Linked DNA regions of Daphnia pulex. The protein of the gene in region 2 purifies or fractionates together with the protein of the main gene of each other region. This does not show direct contact. Links are inferred from orthologs where the notes say so. Each region holds a gene or a part of one and is shown on either strand. Other genes may lie near its edges.

Evidence for each region.
Region 1: the proteins of DDB1- and CUL4-associated factor 7 (region 2) and T-complex protein 1 subunit theta-like purify together in Homo sapiens (affinity purification with mass spectrometry; 3 studies listed by BioGRID and IntAct, with this or other methods). This does not show direct contact. The link is inferred for Daphnia pulex from reciprocal best matches to the Homo sapiens genes DCAF7 and CCT8.

Annotation. Positions count from the first base shown.
Region 1 is NC_060021.1:169,090-174,343, reverse strand, and holds T-complex protein 1 subunit theta-like, read right to left. Parts: upstream 3,311-5,254; 5' UTR 3,161-3,310; coding exon 3,101-3,160; intron 2,848-3,100; coding exon 2,677-2,847; intron 2,620-2,676; coding exon 2,289-2,619; intron 2,226-2,288; coding exon 1,777-2,225; intron 1,716-1,776; coding exon 1,275-1,715; intron 1,195-1,274; coding exon 1,006-1,194; 3' UTR 864-1,005; downstream 1-863. Other genes in the region: uncharacterized protein LOC124194916, read right to left, coding at 1-62, 127-418; ubiquitin conjugation factor E4 A-like, read left to right, coding at 3,717-4,671, 4,739-5,244. UniProt on the Homo sapiens protein: Component of the chaperonin-containing T-complex (TRiC), a molecular chaperone complex that assists the folding of actin, tubulin and other proteins upon ATP hydrolysis.
Region 2 is NC_060025.1:4,763,451-4,768,264, reverse strand, and holds DDB1- and CUL4-associated factor 7, read right to left. Parts: upstream 3,102-4,814; 5' UTR 2,902-3,101; coding exon 2,795-2,901; intron 2,708-2,794; coding exon 2,566-2,707; intron 2,504-2,565; coding exon 2,405-2,503; intron 2,343-2,404; coding exon 2,220-2,342; intron 2,155-2,219; coding exon 1,873-2,154; intron 1,805-1,872; coding exon 1,687-1,804; intron 1,577-1,686; coding exon 1,401-1,576; 3' UTR 1,174-1,400; downstream 1-1,173. Other genes in the region: uncharacterized protein LOC124202359, read left to right, coding at 389-510, 654-790, 879-1,076. UniProt on the Homo sapiens protein: Involved in craniofacial development. Acts upstream of the EDN1 pathway and is required for formation of the upper jaw equivalent, the palatoquadrate. The activity required for EDN1 pathway function differs between the first and second arches.

The sequences.
Region 1 (5,254 bases), on a different chromosome or scaffold from region 2:
GATATCATCCAGTTTCTTTTTTCTTCCACTGCTTTCGACTTTAGTCATGTGAGACGGGCAATCTTAAAGAGTAACAAATTAAATTTTTTTAAGTGGATATTGTAATAACACATAAACAATACTAACTTGGAAATATTTTTGGAATTGCCTCAGGTTTAAGTCTCCAATTTTTATGTTCCTGGAATATTTTTTCTCCTCCAACATGCATGAAATACCCTTTGATTATATCACATTCTGAAAAATGATGAGCACACACCCGCGACTTAGCACTGACTACGTAATTTTTCCTTGGAATGAATTTCATCCATTTCTTTTGCATTTTCGGGTCTTTTGTACTGAACATTGCAATTTTTTCGGTAACAATTCCCTTTCTTCGATAACCGGAAGTGCACATTGGAACGCAGCATGTATTTGGCATTTTTTAAAAATAATTGTGTTGAAAAAAAAAACCGTCCTTAGCTATTGTAAGAAAATTTCAAATGAAGCCTTAAACCTTTGTCTGCTTGGTTTCCATGGTTTCTTGTAGAGTAGCCGCAAAGCGAAACATTAATTTTAAAAAAATATATTGTATTAATCATGTCATTAAACTTGCTTATGATTAAATTTCATTTTCTATTTAACGATATTGAAATTACGATCCAATCCAAAAAATTACCCATGCAAAGTCGCCTACTTACTTTGACGTCCTGCTGAGATCGAGCTCATCGTGGTAGAGATTCTATACTTTGATATCGTTGCAACCTTGCAAATTTACATTATTAAAAATTAAGTTTTTAAAATTTCAAAACAAATAATCAAGTCAGCATTTTTTTTTTTTATTTGCTTAAGCCAACAAACACGATAATTGAAAAAAAACCTGAAACTAGTTTTGATGAATGTATTTTGCGGACAAAAGCTGTGGACAAAAATGTAGTTAGTGTGTTTAAGGAGATAGCATTTTCCCAATGCAACTGTGGAACTCAGCGAATGCGAGAAAGAAAAAGAAACTTCTTGTTCACTCAATGTTTAATCATCATCGGCGTCTTGTGCACCAGCATCACGTGCTTTCGGACCACCTGCTCTCTTCGCCATGATGATTTGATCGACACGAAGAACAGTGCAAGCTGCCGCAGTGGCGTACTTCATACCCCAGTATTTAGCCGCAAACAGGTCGACCACGCCGGATTCAACAGCATCAATCAAACCGCCTTGATCCTTAATGAACCAATTAGCAATACAATTTATCATATCGAAATGCGATTTAAATTGTCAAAAATTGATGAAAGAAAACTTACGTCGACACAGATGCCAGTAGTAGCTTTGCCTTCCTGGTGGGCAGCCAACAAAGCGGCTACGGTCTCGGTCGTCTTGAGTCCAGCGTTATCAGACAAGATCCGTGGGAAAGTTTCCAAAGCTTGTGCGAACCTTTGGATGGCGTACTGGTCCAATCCAGGGCATTTTTCGGCAAACTGGTTAATTTGCCTGGCTAGTTCGACTTCCACCGCTCCAGCTCCAGGTACAAGTCGACCGTCTCTAGACAAGACCTTGAAGTTGTTGATTCCATCATCAATCGCTCGCTCAATGTCGTCGAGGAAGTTGTCGGTAGCACCACGAACAATAATGGTGGCGATGCGAGACTCTTTCTCGTCTTGACGGAAGATGACGACTGCGGTGTCTCCAAACTCATCAGTGTAGATGTGATCAGCGTAACCAACTTCCTCGGCCGACGGAGGGGTCTTGAATCAAAAGAGATGAATGAATTCAATGAATTTAATGAATTTAAAAAGATTAATTTACCAAACGTGGAAGGGCAGTCGCGTTGATGGCTTTGCATAGTCGACGAAGATCAAATTTGGACTGGAGGCGGACACCCATAATACCGTATTTGTTGAGGTAATGCAGACAGAGATCACCAATCTTGCCACCAGAGACGATGACTTTAACGCCAGATGCTGCGATGGCAGCGATTTCTTTTTCCAGCATATTCTCCTCGCCACGAGAGAAATCAATCAACTCTTTGGAAGATTGGATCAAAACTGTTCCTTTGGTCTCAGTCTGGACAGAGTCAATGGGGCAAGTGTAGACGGCAATTTTGGCTTTCTCAGCTTTAGTGATGTCTCCTTCTACTTGACGCTTGAAAACCATTCCTTGTACGACCTGCGATTGATACAAGCTTCCACCAAGGATTTTGGAAACCCTCACGTTGTCAACGTTGAATGTCGTTTTCTTGTCCGGCAGGATTGAAACTGCGTTAAGAATTTATAAATCATTACAATTTGAAGTTGAATAATTCTTTTACATTTACGTACCACAAGCTTCAGTGATGAGCGGAGTCAGGAAAGACTCGTTACCATATTGCTTGGACATGATAGCGGCTGTAATGGCTTTTGTAATGACATCCGAATCTTGAACATTCTCAACAGTCTGGCACACCAAATTAGGCAAAATTTCTAAGGCCTTTTCTAAAGCTTTCTCATAGCCTTCAGCGATTTCATTTGGAGTCAGGCCCATACGAATTAGAGCTTCAGCTTGTTCCAGCAGGGCACCAGCCAAGATGATGACAAAATTTGTTCCATCACCAACTTCTTGTTCTTGCATTTGAGAACCAAGAATCATCATCTTGGCAGCAGGATGTTCCACCTAAACCAGATTGTATTTTATAAAAAAATTCTTTTGTGAAACCAAAAATATTCTTACGTCAAGCTCCCTAATGATTGTGGCTGCATCGTTTGTAACAAAGAGTTTTCCCAAGTGATTGATAACCATTTTGTTCATGCCAATGGGACCATAAGCTGTCTGCACAGTTTCTGCTAGCTGCTTACAAGCACTGATGTTCCTGATGACAGCCTCTTCTAGACCTTGAAACATCTGTGGGGAAGAATTCAGGGTTTTTCATTACCAAATTAAGATTATTACGAAAATAAACGAAAAGATGTCTGGGAAAAAATTCCATCAGCTTTACTTAGTTCCCATAGTCAGGCATTCTAACATAAATGTTTCCTTCCATCGCTTAATAAAGCAAAGTTCAAAAACTCATTTTTTGACACACGTCGGGCATCACCAAGACGACCAGTCACGAGAAACGTCAGTTGAATCGGTAAAGTGTATAAATTGTTCTTACCCGCGAGCCCTCTTTCATCATTTGCTGGAAACCGGGTGGTTTAGGTACGTGCATCGCCATTTTTGAGAATTAAAGTTTCCAGCGACTTGATTTAAAGGAAATAATTAAAGAGACGTTGAATCAAGGAGTTGCCCTGTCGAAGCAACGTGCAGATTCACACCGGGTGACAATGGCTTCGTCTGAATGGTATGATTCAACAACGTTGACTAATAATCAACCAGATTTCCCATGCTTTTAAAAAGAATTCAAGAAAAATATACATTTTATTCATGTCCAAGATTATTATCTAAATTTGAAACAGAAAATTATTATTTAAAATAATTTTTTCATTAACCTTCTTATTTGTTTTTACATTTTTTCGTGACTGGCAAGAAAAAAATAGAAATTTCGAGAAAACCGTAGCAGAAGACATCTGGGAAACGTCAGTCAGCTGATCACATCAATGAAAACAAAATAAACATATTTTTGCATTGCTAATCATTTTCACAAATTGAAAAATATTAAGACACCTTGGATAAATTTGCGGTATAAATTTTCTTGTGAAAAATCCTATGTATTTGAAAGGAATTTAACAAATGTTATTGCAACAGGCGCTAATACCAAGAATCTGTATAAAATGACGGATAACAATCCCTTCCTCGCATTATTCAGCAAAGAAGTTGGAAACCCTAACGTAACGTCGGTTTCAGATGCACCAAGACAAGATTGTCACAATATTCCTAAGCAAGAGAATGGCAGGTTCAATGAATTTGCTGAAAATGTGTTTAGGCTCACACTCAAACCTCAGCAAATGAAAAATTCCACATTATTCTATATGAAGGACTTGTCCAAAGCCTTAAATCAAGAATGTTTCGATCAGACAGCACTGGACCAAGCTGTTCTCGAGTATGCCGTTGGACTGCAGCATTCGTTGGTTAATTATCTATTCCAGTGTTATGAGCGCTCTCTTACCCATGGTGATGAGCCAGAGATTCATGATGTAAGAAAAACCATCTTTGTCAACCTGGACTTGGCATTCTCTCAACCAGAATTGTTTCCTGAGCAAAATCTGCATGAAGATTTTCTTCAACTGCTCGCCTTCTCCTCTGAAGACACCTCTACATTTCTAGACAGTTTTGTACAACACCTTCTAGCACCCGAAAATCCTGCCGGTGTTACAGAGGTGTTTTTACCTTTATTTGCCAGCTTAAAAACCAAGCTGACCAACATGCACCTGCTAATGGGAAATCAAAGTGAATTGGACGCCATGATGGTCTTGAGCAAACAACCGACGCTGGCGAAAGACATGGTTTCTATTTCAATTTTGAATGAAAATATCATAGGCAAAGTTGGGAAGCAATGCGAGCAAACTCTACTGGGTTCCCTCTTCTTGTGCTCCTGCATTCCACGCGTCCCAGGAACGCCTTCAGACTTTTTCGACCGACCTTCAAGATCACCGCCCGGTGTTCACGCCACCACCGAAGGAAACATTTGGTCTGCCTCAGAGCGCATTATGGACAAAGTTTATAAAATATTCTATAACTTGTTTAAATCTTCACCGGAAGTTCAAAATCTCACCCGAAAATGGCTGGGTAATTTTAACCTTTTAATAAAAAACTTAAAAAAGGTGGAAATAATTTTCTTTTGTTGATTTTCTAGGGCAAGTATTGGAGTTAAACAAGGCTCGTGGGCAAATGTGGGCCCAGCATGATATGACAGCACAGGTCCACTGCGTTTCCGACGGATTCATGACCAATTTAGGTGCTGTGCTCCTTCAGCTCTGCCGGCCATTCTGTTCTACCGACGACCCGAAATCTTGCGATCGTCTCAGTAAAATTGACGCGACATTTTGTACCGCCAAAGAGACCAAAGACAATGGCGTGCACATTGCTGATCTGCACAAGGAAACGTGCCTCATTACGCAGGAGAACCGACCTGCAGCCAAAAGCCTTCCTTATTCATTTTCCACTGAGCTGTTTTACATGACCCACCGGGCCCTGGAGTTGGGCGCTAAAGCTGTTCACAGTCAAATGCTGCAGATGAGCCAGAATTTCAATCGCCTTCAAAGAGCTTACCAAGACGCCGAACAAAGTGGCCAAACTCCCGTAGCCCAGCAAATCCAAGAACGAATGGATGTCATGATGTCCAGCTACCTTTGTTTTAAGGTGAAAAAAT
Region 2 (4,814 bases):
AATGGCTAGAGGGGGAGCTACACTGTAAATCTAAATCATCACATCGTCGGCTCAGACGAGCGTCACGTTCTCGAGGCTTTACAGAATCTGGTCAAATCGAGAACGATTTCTTGAGGTGAACTACTTCGTTACGCTAGTCAATTGGCACCTGCCTCGAATAGGTTGAAATTTTCTTCCTATTTCCGCGAATTCTTTGTACTCCTGCATCGATTTCTTTACCATTTGTAGGTGGATCGAACTAGACTCCATCAATATTCTCGTCATAGCCTCTAGTTTTTCAGGGTCCTTTTTGTATTGATTTCCTTGGGGAGTTTGAATTTTAAAACGAGGGTGCCCACAGAGTCAACGTTCTTACACATGCTTTTGTAACTCCTTATCCCCGTTTCAGAGATATTGCGTGCATCGAACTGGTACAACAAATCGTAGAAGCCCATCCTCATCTTTCAGGTTGGGAACCAAAAAAACTGGCCATCTATGAAAAAAGCTGGCAACCGGGAAAAACCAGTCGAGGTACGTAGTCATACTTGCGTTCGTTCGTTATCTGTTTGAATCCTTCTTTCGTCATACTTTTTACCTTCCCTCTCTCAAACGAGTCGGACTCGATCGTACTAAATTCCAGAATACCAAATCATGTTGTATTTGCTATTATTTAGCTCGACTTCGTCGCTTGAATGATTTCGATTGTCCGCTTCTACTTGCCCAACATTGGCAGGCCGATGATACCAATCTCGATGCCTCTAGCTGTGCCAAAACTCTAATCCTTCAAGAAAGCCAAAATGGAGACATTCCGGTAAAATACCATTGCGGGGCTCTAATTTTCGACATATTCCATCGCTAAACTATAAGCGCACCCATTTTTTCTTCTTTCTATATTTCAGTGGGAGGAATTTACAGTGGCTGAACTATCAAGTTTCCTTAAGGTTTTGGAACGTGAAGAGAAAAATCACGAAATGCAGATTCGCGAGAGATACCAACTACTTAACGAGCGGCTACGAGAAACTATGCAACTTTCGAATCCAACAGCTTACAAAAGCATTTCAAGTAATCAAACCAACCACTTAGCAGTCTCAAATTGAATTTTAAAGAGAAACATAAAAATATATATGATGTTAATACCTGCTGATCTTATACAGAATCCGAGTGCTGTGATAGAAAGCTAATAAAACAATGTTGTTGATTCAAATTCAGTCATTCTTTTCCAAGTTTTTGCTTAGTAGTACAGACAAATTCAAAATCTCAAATGTCACATTCTTATGATATTTTCCTTATTTTAATTACAAATCAACGATCCGATTCACGAGAGGATACGAATTATTAAAAAAACACGATCTAAGATAACCTGATGAGAAGTTTTCAGACATTAGTCATACTCAGTTTTGATATATATAGGTATTAAAGCATTAAACTCGTAAAATTTCAAGGGATCGATTGTAGCAAATGGCAATCCAATCAGGTTGTGTTGCTCCCCACTGGATTTGGTTGATTTCACCTTCAGCCGCTGTGTAAGCAAGTATGGGATCTTCAATGGCTCGCGGCATTTGCTGGATATCCCATATCAAGGCTTGATGGTCATCACCTAAATTATTACAAACCAGATCAAATCGGATCAATTATATACAGCAATTGGCAGCATACATCGTGCACACGGTACTTGCACAATTCTAGTTACAAATAAAAAATATTTACCAGCTGTGCAAATATGACAGGAAGAATGTGGGGCCCAAGCGATGCCATTTACACATGCCCTGTGATTACTCAAACGAGCGACGGGAGTACACGGCACTCTTACATCGAGTATTACCACCTAACATTTGTAACAAAGAAATTTGTAACGTGTTCTCTATTTGAAATGAGGTGAAAAACCGAAAATACTTCACAAGCATCCATGGATATCGTTGCTAAATAAGAAGGGTCCTGTCTATTCCATGCTAGTCTTAACAGAGGACGATGCTGAGGATCTTCATATATGATTGTTGAATGTTCTAGGTGTCTAAGGTCAAACATTCTCACGGAGCCATCAGCGCCAACAGATGCAAACATATCTCGCCCGCCTCCTGCCCGGCTGAATGCGATATCATAGACCTCTTTATCATGTGCGATTAACTGAGTTTTTACGTGTCCTGCTACACCAGGGCCACCAACTCGACCAACAACCTTTAAGATAAATAGTTTGTTATAGAATAATAAGATTTAAAGAAGTTTTAAAGATATTGCTTTACCTGTCCAGTTTCCAAACCCCATATGGTACATGTGGTGTCAATACTAGATGTTCCAATAAGGTTAGGTTCAACTTCATTCCAATCAAAACTTGTAAGAGGAGCACAGAAGTCTGAGTTTTTGTTCTAGAAATTGTTTTCAATGAATTAAATTTCTTGTAAATAATAATAATTCATGTAAAAATTACATTGTTAAGGAGGCATTCTAATCTTGTGTCTGGTTCTCCTGCTTTCCATATGCGTAGATAGTCCCCACTTGTAGCCAGTAAATCAGGAAAAACACCTTTCTGATAACACACTTAATTATTAACATTTCTTTAACCATATTTGAAACAGGATAGTTCCATACCGCATCAGGAATCCACATAATTTTTGTAGTAGGATATGGATGATCAAAAGTACTTTTGGCACTGAATTCTGCTGAATCTTCATCTAATGAAATTACTTGAACTTTGTTGTTGTATTCTTCTACAAAACTTCCAATAGCCAATCTAATTTGTAAAGGAATTTGAGGTTAGTCAAGTTGAATATTACATTTCTTAAACATAAAATACATAATTTTAAACTTCCTCCCTCACCTGAATCTCTTATCTGGACGCACTGACCAATTCATACTGTAAAGAGTCCATGGTGCTTCGTACTTGTAAATTTCCTTTCGTTTGGGAGCAACATTTAGCCCCGCCATTTTTTAGAAAACGACACAATTCCCGGGAATCGTGATCAAATATGCAGAAGTGTTAGAATTTCTTATGTTGGCAATTTTAACCGGAATGACAGTGGACCCACGCAAACAAATAAACCTATCTATTAACTTAGGCCAGACAAGACAACCATTAAATTTTCTCACACTGAAGCTGTACACCAAGCGGTAGAAGTCTGAAACGAAAGTCAGAGTCAAAATCAAATACAGGCAAAATAGATACGATATTTTGAAGAAGAGCGCCACCACCGCTAAATATTGTCTGCTACCGATCGCTGCAGTGCTTCAACGTTCAACCGTTCAACCTTCAAGTAGTAACGTCGCAACTACAATTTGTGAATATTGTTATGTAATAACTCGGAATTTCTTGACAACTTTTCAGTCTCGGTCTTAATACTTTTAGATTTAAAGTAATTGCGATACTATAGAACGAACGAAACATCATACTCCGTATGTTATTATTCCTTTTTAATTTAATAAACACAATCGACTTCTCATGACCGAATTGGTGAATTATCAAAATATTTAGAAATCTAAAATATTTTGGCATTCATGATCAGTTATGTGTACATTGCTTCAACAATTTATATTACACTATTAACAATTCCTCTTTGATTGTGTACAGAGAAATGGAAACATCAAGCAAAATAAACAATGAAATTGAGTCTTTAAATGCTGAAGAATTAAACTGGATTCAGTTAAGAGAGGAAATTGGATCAGAAAGTTTGAAGAACCAGGAGACATTCAAAGAAAAATTCAACAGAAAATTTTCTGAAAATCCTTTTGTTCCTATTGGGTGTCTAGCAACTGCAGCTGCATTGACATATGGCCTGTGGTCCTTTCGTCATGGGTATAACTTTACAAATTGATTGTTGTGTGGTTATTGACCATAATATATTTTTTTTAAATCTGTAATTGTTTGAATTGATTCATTAGGAGACCCCAAATGTCACAAAAAATGATGAGGCTCAGGATTGCAGCACAAGGATTTACAGTTGTTGGCCTTATGGTTGGAGTTGGTGTTGCAAATGTGAAAGAAAATGTGTAAACTTGTCTCTCAGTCCCAATGTATCATATTATTTAGTACACATACATGAGACTTCTCATAGTATAATACATAAAAAAAAAACTCCCTCAATCTAGTGGGATTAAATGTATGGAAATCGCAGTTGAATTATTTTGCCACTCGACAAGGCCTACTACTACAGTAACGACCCCAATCGCTCGTCTTTTCATTTAATCAATTTATATTTTAAAAAACGTCTGCAATGTAGCAAATGCTAGCTCCAGGAAAAAAATAATTATTGTTAATGAATGATCGGAATGACGCGCACAGCCGCAAGACATTTCCTTCTTTTACACGGAAAACGGTTTGGCGCTATTGTTAAAGGACATGTTGCTATGGCAATGTGGAAAGTAAACACAGGAAAAGTTTTTTCAAAATCGTTGGTTTGGATTAACAATTTGTATTCGCGATGGAAATCATGTGTGATAGCAACATTGGTATAGATTATGAAGCCACTGGTAAATCAAATGATTTGGCGGTAAAAATAATTCTTCTTGGAGATAGCGCCGTAGGAAAATCAAAGTATGGATTTGTAGATTGATTGAGCGATGGGTATATGAAGCCATCTTCATCTTGTTGGATAGTATGGTATCCAAAAGAAACTGACGATAAATTTTGAACACAAATGCCTTTAATACTAGGAATGGCAGGAATATTACTCAATTGAAAATAGAGATTTTCTATATTGAGAATTGGAGGCTCTGACTCCCTTTTGAATTTGATTTCCATGAATGAACTGTTCAGCTTCTTTCTGTGCATTTAAAACTTTCTATATCTGGTAAATCCACAACCATCTAACTGCGCCTTGTACTCTGCCCTGTAATTTGAAAAA